Linked DNA regions of Nothobranchius furzeri. The protein of the gene in region 2 interacts with the protein of the main gene of each other region in a pairwise test. Links are inferred from orthologs where the notes say so. Each region holds a gene or a part of one and is shown on either strand. Other genes may lie near its edges.

Region 1 (4,541 bases), on a different chromosome or scaffold from region 2:
TCAATCCATCAGCATGTTTACACACGTAGAGCTGTAGGCTGCACAAGTAAACATCAAGGTGTCCAGCTCACAAAATACACTGAAGGACATGGTTGACGACCACGGAGAGAATTCTAGTGAATAAACCACCCTTTTTGTGGCAGACAAAGGCCCTGTCCACACGTAGCCGGGGATCTGCCAAAACGTAGATATTTTTCTACGTTTTGGCCTGTCATCCACACGAAAACTGATCTTTTTAAAAAAACTCCGGCCAAAGTGAAGATGTGCGTTTTCTCCGTGTTGGGTGTCTGCGTGTGGACGGACAAAACCGGAGTTTTAAGGTCCGCAACGTCACTTTCTGCGACAAAGCAATGCTGACATCACGTGTGCGACCTGTGTTTACACTAGCCGACAGCATGGATGCCCTCAGAGCTGCGCTCGCTTTATCAATTGTCCAAGCGCTTTCTGCTTGTTTGTTTTTGCAAGAGGAATTACTGCTCCTTGCGGAAGACCACAGACGAAGGACGAGGTTAAGAACGGGGAAAGTACTGCCGCCTACAGGTCTGGCATGTCCTTAACAACGTATTTATCCAGGTACGTGTGGACAGTTTGTTTTTAAAACGAGGTGGTGTGGATGCAAGTTTTTGGAGGGGCGGATATTCGTTTTTAAAAAACCCCGGCTACGTGTGGACTAGGCCACAGTCTCATGACAGAATAAAAAAAGGGAAAGGCCCCACATGACCAGACACAGACAGGTTGTAACCATCTAATGACTTTTGAGGTTGTTTTTCTTTAAAACAAATCAGCGCGGCGGCGGGGCCCGAGGAGCCGGGGAAGAAGCACTGGCCGAGCGAAGGTGCAGTGAGGAGGAGAGCCGTCCTGACAAATAAACGTGTGTGTGTGTGTGTGTGTGTGTGCACGCGCTGTTTACTTTCATAATGCAGTAAGTAAAATAAGACAAACCTCACATGTCTCGAGTCACAATGAATTTGCGCGATACTTCAAAGCCTTGTTTACCGCTGCTACCAGAAACATTGAATGGAAAGAGAGGAGGCGGCGGCCATGTTGTAGCTGCGGAGCGTCGAGGCAGTAAAACTGACAAATAGGGCTGGGCGGATCGAGCTAAGATATCGATAGTATCGATCTAACGTTGGTATTGAGTATTTACTAGATACCTGCGTGATGGTATCGATTCCGTTTCTTCTAGCCTGGCAAGCATTGATTTACTCACCGCTACAGATGTCGGTCAACGAGGCAGTCCACCAAACTCCGTCAAAGAAGATGCAAAACACATCCTTTTCCTAAATAAACGTTAGTACTTCTATCTGATCTTGACTCAAACAAAAGCTAAAAAGTCATAATAGTCCAAACTTGACGCCAAAGCCATTTCAAACGAGCGGCTGACCGCCGACTAGTCAGTAGTGCTGTACGATACTGCAAAATTTGGTATCGATCCGATACCAAGTAAATACAGGGGCTAGTATTGCCGCCCAATACCAATACTTTTTACTACTAATCTAGTACCATCTAGTTTTGTGGGAATTATTAAGATAAATAGGATCAATAAAATTTGAGTTTTCAGACAACATCCTGCCTAAATAATACATTTATTTAGTCTGGCTTGCCAGGCTAGTGCTGGCGCGCTGTTTTACTTTTTTTTTTAATGTAACGGCGGGCTGCCCCGTTGACTGACATCCGTGGCATTCCAATCAGTGTTTTACTGGTTTGTTGGGCCAATCACAGTGCTCTTTTAGCGAGGTGGGAGGGATGTCCCTGCAAACAAACATGGCTGCCGCTCGAAACTGTCCAAACATAGGTATCAGCCAGGTAAACTACAAATAAAGATGGCTGCTGTTCTGTAGTGGTCCAATCATGGCGCTATATAGATTTCATGGACCAATCGCAACACTAAGTAGGCAGGATGTTATTGGAAAACAAAAAAAAAAAAACGTAGATCCCACCCCATTATTTAGATCTGTCTATGGGTCGTGGCTCGCCAGGCTAGTGGGATTCCTGTTCTCATACTCTTTAGATTTGAGCTCCGGCAGGTCCAGGTGCCAGTGTTCATCACTGATGATCCTCTTCTCGTCTTCGTCCAGCTGCTTCTTTGTCTCAGCATCCAGTCCCCTCTGCATAAACTGAAACACAAAGCACACATTTACTCAATCTGGACCCAACCAAAACCACCGTTAGCCAGGTCCACAACAATGCTGCCAAGATCATCAGCTTCCTGGAAGATCCAGAACTTCTAAAGTTGACTTCCATCAGAAATCTTCTCTCTTCCCACAACTCCTGGTTCTCAGGCAGCAGCAAGTTTGGTTCCTTCCTAGAGGTTCTAACAGTAAAACAAGAGGCACAGCTTTCCCTTCCCAGGCTCCTCTCTGGCGGCCACCAGGTCTCCCAGAACCAGTCGGTCCATCCTGGACTTGATTCTGTAGGACGTTGCGTGGTGCTGCTCAGGATGGAGGACGTGTTGGGAGTGAAGATTCTAATCATTGCACCAGAAGCTCTGGCTTTTTGTGAGCTGTGGTTCGGATTTTTTTGGACTTTGGTAGAATCTTCTCTCAGGTTCGGTCCTGGTTCAGAGTGGTCCAGATGAAGGAGGCACATCCCGCTCCTCCACGGGTTCACAGAGATCAGATACATCTCTGAAACACGCCTAAATCCGCTTCGTCTCGTTGCTTTACCCCGAATTCAAGTTCAGTTTCAGGGTGATAAACGCTGCTTGGAGTCAGCATCTGGGAGGAAACTAGCGTCTTCTTATCACACATCAAACGTTCATTTCTGTTTAGTCAATGACGTTCGGCGCAGAGCTAGCAGCTAACGCTTACCTTCATCCGCAGCAGGTTTTTTGACAGTTTGAATGAATCTTCCGCCATATTGTGCCGATTAATTTATACTAATTTAAAGTAAATCCGAACTCATTCAAACGAACTCGTTTAGATCTAACAATCAGCACTTAGCATTAGCCACTGGGCTAAGCGCTCACCACAGTCTGAAACAATCGAACATTGATGCGCATGCATGGTCGATGTTAAGGATGATGAATCAAACACGAGCAGCTGTTCGAATTGGATCCTGGTCATCTAACCTTTTCTAGAAAGATAAAAGGACATGACCGTGAAAACACTCGAAGATGAATTTGTGTAAATTATTTCAGTTTATATGTTTGTTTGTTTAAACCGAAACACATTAGCCAACAATAATTTAAAGACCAATGTGGCTAGCTTGAAGCCCCTCCCATTCACCATGGTAACACATGCTGGAGACAAGCCCCCAAAATTCAGCGCACAGATTTCACTCACAAACGCAGAAAGGTTCACAAATGAGAAGCTTTTCGTAAATGCACGTTCAGCAATTCGGATGATCTGTGAGTTTATATTACAAGTGTTCTTACAAATAATATTTGTGAACCACAGAGTGTGAACTTCAGAATTAGCGTGTGCATTTGTGGAAAATGTTGCGTGACTTATTTTTTCACATTATATTTATGAGTCAAAGAGTGTGAATTTCCGAATGAGCTTGTGCATTTGTGTTCCTCCGAATTATATTTGTGAAACACAAGAGTGTGGCTTTCCGAATGAACGTGTGCATTTGTGGAAAACGTTGTGTGACTTAATTCTTATGTCACTGCTTCCACTCCAGTCGGGGTTCTTTTTCCCCCCCCCTCTCTCTCTCTCCTCTTCCTGAGGAGGATCCACTCCCTCTTTCCTATTCACTCTCTCTCTCTTTCTTTACATTTTTAATCACAATTGTCTATTTTTTGCTCATTTTAATTTAATCATTTTCTAAATTCTTTTTTCTATTTTACATGTTTTGTTTTTGTGAAGCGCCCTGTGATTTTTATCTTGAGAGGCGCTATAGAAAAGATCTTTTTTTCTCTCTCTCTCTCTTAATTCATGCACTTAAATATTAATGTTCTGATTTTATTGAAAAACTTGTTCTGTAATAGTTCCTTTACTATTGTGATCAAAAACATTTAATCTCAACTCTGAGGCTGCTCTGTAAATAGTTTTCAAATAAACAATACACATAGCAACTTCTGATCAAACTTAAAGAGCAAGTAACGTCTAAATTAACTTTTTTTTGCTGATGAACTGTATAAATGAGTGTCTAATAGTGTTTTAAATGTGTGTATTCATTATTTTAGCATTTTGGTGCATTTTCTTAAAAAATTAAAAATTCTGCCTAAATACCACAGTATAGCTCCACCTTCAGCTTAAAACATAGAATTTGACTCATTTTGAATAAATTTTAGCCAATGGCTAAAGAGTAAGATACTACGTAATCCAGTAGAGTACTACGTAGCAGCTCTGTGTCAACGTTATAAAAGCATCGGGAGTCTCGGCCACGCCTTGTGGCGAGTTGGGAGTTGGATTTGCATGAGAGTGTAGGAGGCTAGCCGTAGTTCAGCATTAGCATATAGCATTAGCATATCCTAGTCTTTAGCATAGCTTTTAGTGTTATACATACTTATTTAGTGTTAGCTTGGCTGTTGGATATTGTAGTTTAGTTACTGTTTGGCTGTTAGTGTAATTAGGAAAGTAGTTCGGGTTTAGTGC
Region 2 (4,575 bases):
TGCAACACTTTAATTTGAATAATTTAACAAATCTTTCAGCTGTTCCAAGCCCACACATCATATTTGTTCAGAGGTGTCCTGCAGAGTGTGAGTCACGCTGGTTCCCACGCACAAGACACCTGCCAACCTTATCAAACATGTTAATGAGACGGAAATCTGGCTTTTATCTTAACTGCTGAGGGAGAACTGCTCCCTAGGATGATGGAGACACGCTCTCCCTTCACAAGTCAGACTCAGCTCATCTCTTCAACATTAAATTAACTCATTTATAGAACAGTTTCATTACTTTGACGATACTCGGGTCGGTAAACGCCTCGTTCAGAATGTACAATTCACTGCGGAGCTCCAAAGTATCAATGATGAAGTCCTCCTCTCTGGTGGAGACCTGCATCAGACAGGTGAGGCCGAGGAAACTCCTGTAGGAATGATGCTGTCACAGAAAAAAAAGAAAATGTTTAACAGAAAAACAGCCTCCAAAGAGTTTAATGACTTCCTAAAGCTACTTTTATTTTAATTAGAACAGAAAGACACGAGACTTTAGTACCTCAAGATCCACAGCAAATTCAGACGACTTGCACAGCTTCTCATTGAGAGTCACTAGATCCTCCAGCGAGTCGACGAAGGTTAGGTTTGTCTCAGCCAACGGTTTGTACATCTAGAAGGAACAGAAACAGATGAGACACACACCGGCACAAGATGATTTTGTTGGGTTACTACAGGTTAATATTACTTGAGGCTCTGGCTTGGACAGCAAGCTTTCTGGTACTATGAGATGGTCCAGTTCATACTGGTACGGGTGTGCAAACCTACATAAAATAAAAAATAAACTCTACTTAGAGAAATGAAAACATGAAACACGGTGTTGACACAACCAGGGACAAGTCTCACATGTCTTCAACATGTTCCTGCGTCCTCTGCTGGTGGATAAAGTCAGCCAGGGCAGCTGGGACGTCAAGGTCCTCCGGCCTCTCTTTACGAATTTGTTTGTTGGTAAAATCTACAGTTTGAGAAAAGAAAATAAATAACTCAGATACGCTGACGAGTTGAAATGGCAAATCAAAACATGTGCCAAAGGTGCTTCTTACAGGAGGGAAGAGCCTTTAATGAATTGGGCTTGATGAAGATCTTTGGAACAAAAGGTGTGTTGCTGTTGTCGACCTTTTCTTTGAATTTCAGCTGAGGCCTTGCAATGTTCTTGGCATGGAGCAGTCGGAATGTCTCAGAACGACTGCCAGAGCTGGAACCCTGTAAAAAAAAAAACACACGCACACACACTCTGCTTATTATGATATAAGAATTTATAGATAAGCAAGAAGGTAGTTCAAAACAGAAAAACTGTGATAACAGGAAGAACTGTTTATTTCACCTACCTTACGATTCCAACTAGAAACAACAATTTTCGGAGGCTGAAACCCAACAGGCATGACAGGCTTCTGGCTCCGATTAACCCCATCAGCTTCATCAAGAAGAATGCCCTAAAAACCAGACAGCAGAACCTGGTTGGTCTGCAAAGGTCTTTGCATTCATTAAGTAATTTAGAGCCAAAGGTGCAGGTCATACCGCTCTTTCAAGGATAACATCATTCGAGTCCACAACCAAGTCAAACCTCTCCTCTATTCCTGTGAGTTTGTCCCGGTCTTTTATGTGAGATCTGCAGCCATGGTTCTGCATTATCTGGCTCATGCTAAAAGACAGTTAAACAGATTAAAACCTTGTTTTACTCCCTCAGAACTCAGAATACTCAGTTCAGGTTTAAACTTGAGCTTGCTTCTGAAAAACTGGTCAGTGACAAAAAGAATAAAATAATTGTTAATTATGTGTTGGTTACATGCTGATTGATCATTGACATGTGCCAATAGAAACTACACTTACCAGTGCAAAAGCTTATCTCCTTGACTTTCACAGAACTCCTGGAATCCCGGGAAGCTCCGATAGAAATCATACTCATCTCCAGACTGAGGTAAGCCAGCTGAAGCTTTGGTGGCCGATAACACTGCACCCAAACCATACTGTAAAGAGACCAGGTTCAGTTGTTACTATTACTAAAGGATAATAACAATGCAATAATATTTAAAATCTCATTGGTTTGATTTAAATGTGATGTTGATTTGCCTAAAAGCTTGGCTGTTGGAAAATGCAGCTTTTCATTCTTTCTGATGGGGCCAAATGTAACTTTGACCAAACAGAAAAAATATATGAAGAACTAATCTAAACAGAAAAAAATCTAAACATTTGTCTTAATTTAATGGTGATTTTTGTGTGCCCCAACTCTAGCAACTTTTAAATCAAAATTAAATATTTCATGCGCTCCTTATTTATTTAAATGCCTCGTTGTATGAAATGCATTACACAAATAAAGCTGCCATGCCTTCATAGTTTATTTTACTAAATTATATTTGACAATAAAAAGGTTATTTAAGCTTAAATACTGCAGACCCCGAATCTAGTGGAATAAAAGCTTGTAGCAACATATTTTGCTCTAATCATCAGCTTATATCTACTGCTGATTTGGATCCCTAAATGAAAAAGCTGTCAAAAGCTAGTTGGCAAAAAGCTTCGTTACACACAACCACACCGTTGCACCTTTAATTTATGAATAGTGTTAAGTCATTGTCTCTGCTTTGCTTGACTTCAACTCCCAATGATGATCCTGCTAACTGGCCAACCAGCTCACCCACGTTGGACTGTTAGCATAAGCTAAAAACTGGCTAGCTAGCTAGTTTTGTTTACTTACTTTAACGAAGGTGTCCGCGTCTTTGAAACCAGGACATAACTCATCTTTCACTTCTTCAGTAGTGTCCAAATTACCTCCCTGACAGCTGCTGTCCGTGGCATCATTACTCTTTGAAGAATTCATCATCTAAATTTGAGTTGTGTACATGAGTGCCTGACGGAAACAGCGCCACCTTTACCTTCAGTGTTAATGGTAGAGCAGTAGGGTCACAGCGCCCCCTTTCGGCATGGAGTGGACAGTGTCAACATTACACAGGAGTGAATACTCATAAAATATTTTAAAATTGATTTAGTTGCTCTCTGATTTGAAACTACACTCAAAAATGTAAACATAATAAACGAAACACATAAATAATGTACAATAGTGTACAAAATACTGTTGAAAAGCTTGAAGTTATTAAATATAGCAACATTTTTACAAGTGTTTGTACATATAAATTAATTTTCTACATGATAAAGAAAAGACAAAAACTGAATCTGAATCAACAAATAGATAAAATAATTGTTGGTTTAAATGATATAAATCTGGAATATTTGCTGTGTATTGTTGTAATGCTGGCTACTCTCACTACAAATCTGAAAGGATGTTGGTCACAAATCCCGCAGGACTGTGCTCTGGTCAGCAGAGCATCCATCCAATGCAGTGAGACTGCAGACGCTGCAAGATTTCTTCTCTTATCGCCCCATTTGATCCAGTTTAGACAGAAAGATGCACCAGGACTCTGGTACCATGAGGGGGCAGTGTTTACATTTGTAAAGTGTGCAAACCACTCCTCAGCATCTGCAGCACATGAAAAAGGAAAATGCACCAGTCATGTCTCCACCAATATTTGTTTAAGAGACGTCTATATTATATTTGAATCGAAAGCTTATTATTTTTGCAGAGTTTGACCAAGGATGAAGGTATCCTAACTGTAAATGTATTCATTCCCCTCAGTGTTTGTTGCCAAAACAAATTAGAAAAACCGGGTGTTGCTGTGATCCAGTGGTCAATACATGAGAAGAGCCAAAGTATTGACACGCCAGCTCATTATAAATGATCTGTGGTGTGTGGGGAGAAACCTCTCTTTTCTTCACTTCCCATTCAAATCGATTTCTTCACGAGGCCCTCTCCTTCTTATTATCTTAAAAGCATCTCCGCAACACTGACTGGATCAATATTTCACAGCATCTTTCCATGTCATTCTGTTGTTTCAGCGGAGAGTAACCAAACTTCGGCACACACGTGCACTAATAATTCAAAGAAATGAATCAGCATCTGTTGGAAAGTCGCTGCACAAAACCAGCAACTTGATGTGTTCGTTTCTAAAGATATTGAGTGTTATATTACTTTGAAACCATTGAGTTATCACTGATAACAGTCTTTATAATGACGTATTAATCCAGATTTAATAAACTTTGTCATATTATTAATCTATGTTATTGTTGCATTTCACCCCAATTTATGTGCTTTAAAAATATGATGCATTTTCTAGCTTTGATAGCGCTCCAAGGCTCTACTCCAGTGGGGTGTCCAGATCTTTTAAAATGGGGTGGCCCAGGTGAGGCACAATTTTGCGCATGGGTAGCACCAATGGTTATGCTTTTTTTGTTTTACCCCCAAGCCTTTTGTGGACAATGAAAAGCCTATTTAAAGGTAAATTAGTGTGGTGGCACCTGGGGTGGCCAATCAGATTCCAAGGGTGGCATGTGCTACCCCAGGCCACTCCCTGGACACGCCCCTGCTCTACTCAAGTCTCTCCCCGTGCAGTACAGACACTAAAACTGCTGATGCTGAAGGTGACAGCAAAATAAATAAATAAATAAATCCAGGAGAAAATTCTCAGTGAACTGTTTTTATTA

What was found.
Region 1: the proteins of exosc10 (region 2) and mphosph6 interact in binary tests that used the Homo sapiens proteins (3 or more experiments, as listed by UniProt). The link is inferred for Nothobranchius furzeri from reciprocal best matches to the Homo sapiens genes EXOSC10 and MPHOSPH6.

The regions. Positions count from the first base shown.
Region 1 is NC_091744.1:80,075,106-80,079,646, reverse strand, and holds the start of mphosph6 (M-phase phosphoprotein 6), read right to left. Parts: upstream 3,011-4,541; 5' UTR 2,859-3,010; coding exon 2,811-2,858; intron 2,118-2,810; coding exon 2,005-2,117; intron 1-2,004. UniProt on the Homo sapiens protein: RNA-binding protein that associates with the RNA exosome complex. Involved in the 3'-processing of the 7S pre-RNA to the mature 5.8S rRNA and play a role in recruiting the RNA exosome complex to pre-rRNA; this function may include C1D.
Region 2 is NC_091755.1:29,809,120-29,813,694, forward strand, and holds the start of exosc10 (exosome complex component 10), read right to left. Parts: upstream 2,941-4,575; 5' UTR 2,861-2,940; coding exon 2,735-2,860; intron 2,010-2,734; coding exon 1,873-2,009; intron 1,685-1,872; coding exon 1,561-1,684; intron 1,476-1,560; coding exon 1,371-1,475; intron 1,246-1,370; coding exon 1,086-1,245; intron 998-1,085; coding exon 889-997; intron 807-888; coding exon 731-806; intron 656-730; coding exon 545-655; intron 431-544; coding exon 287-430; intron 1-286. UniProt on the Homo sapiens protein: Catalytic component of the RNA exosome complex which has 3'->5' exoribonuclease activity and participates in a multitude of cellular RNA processing and degradation events.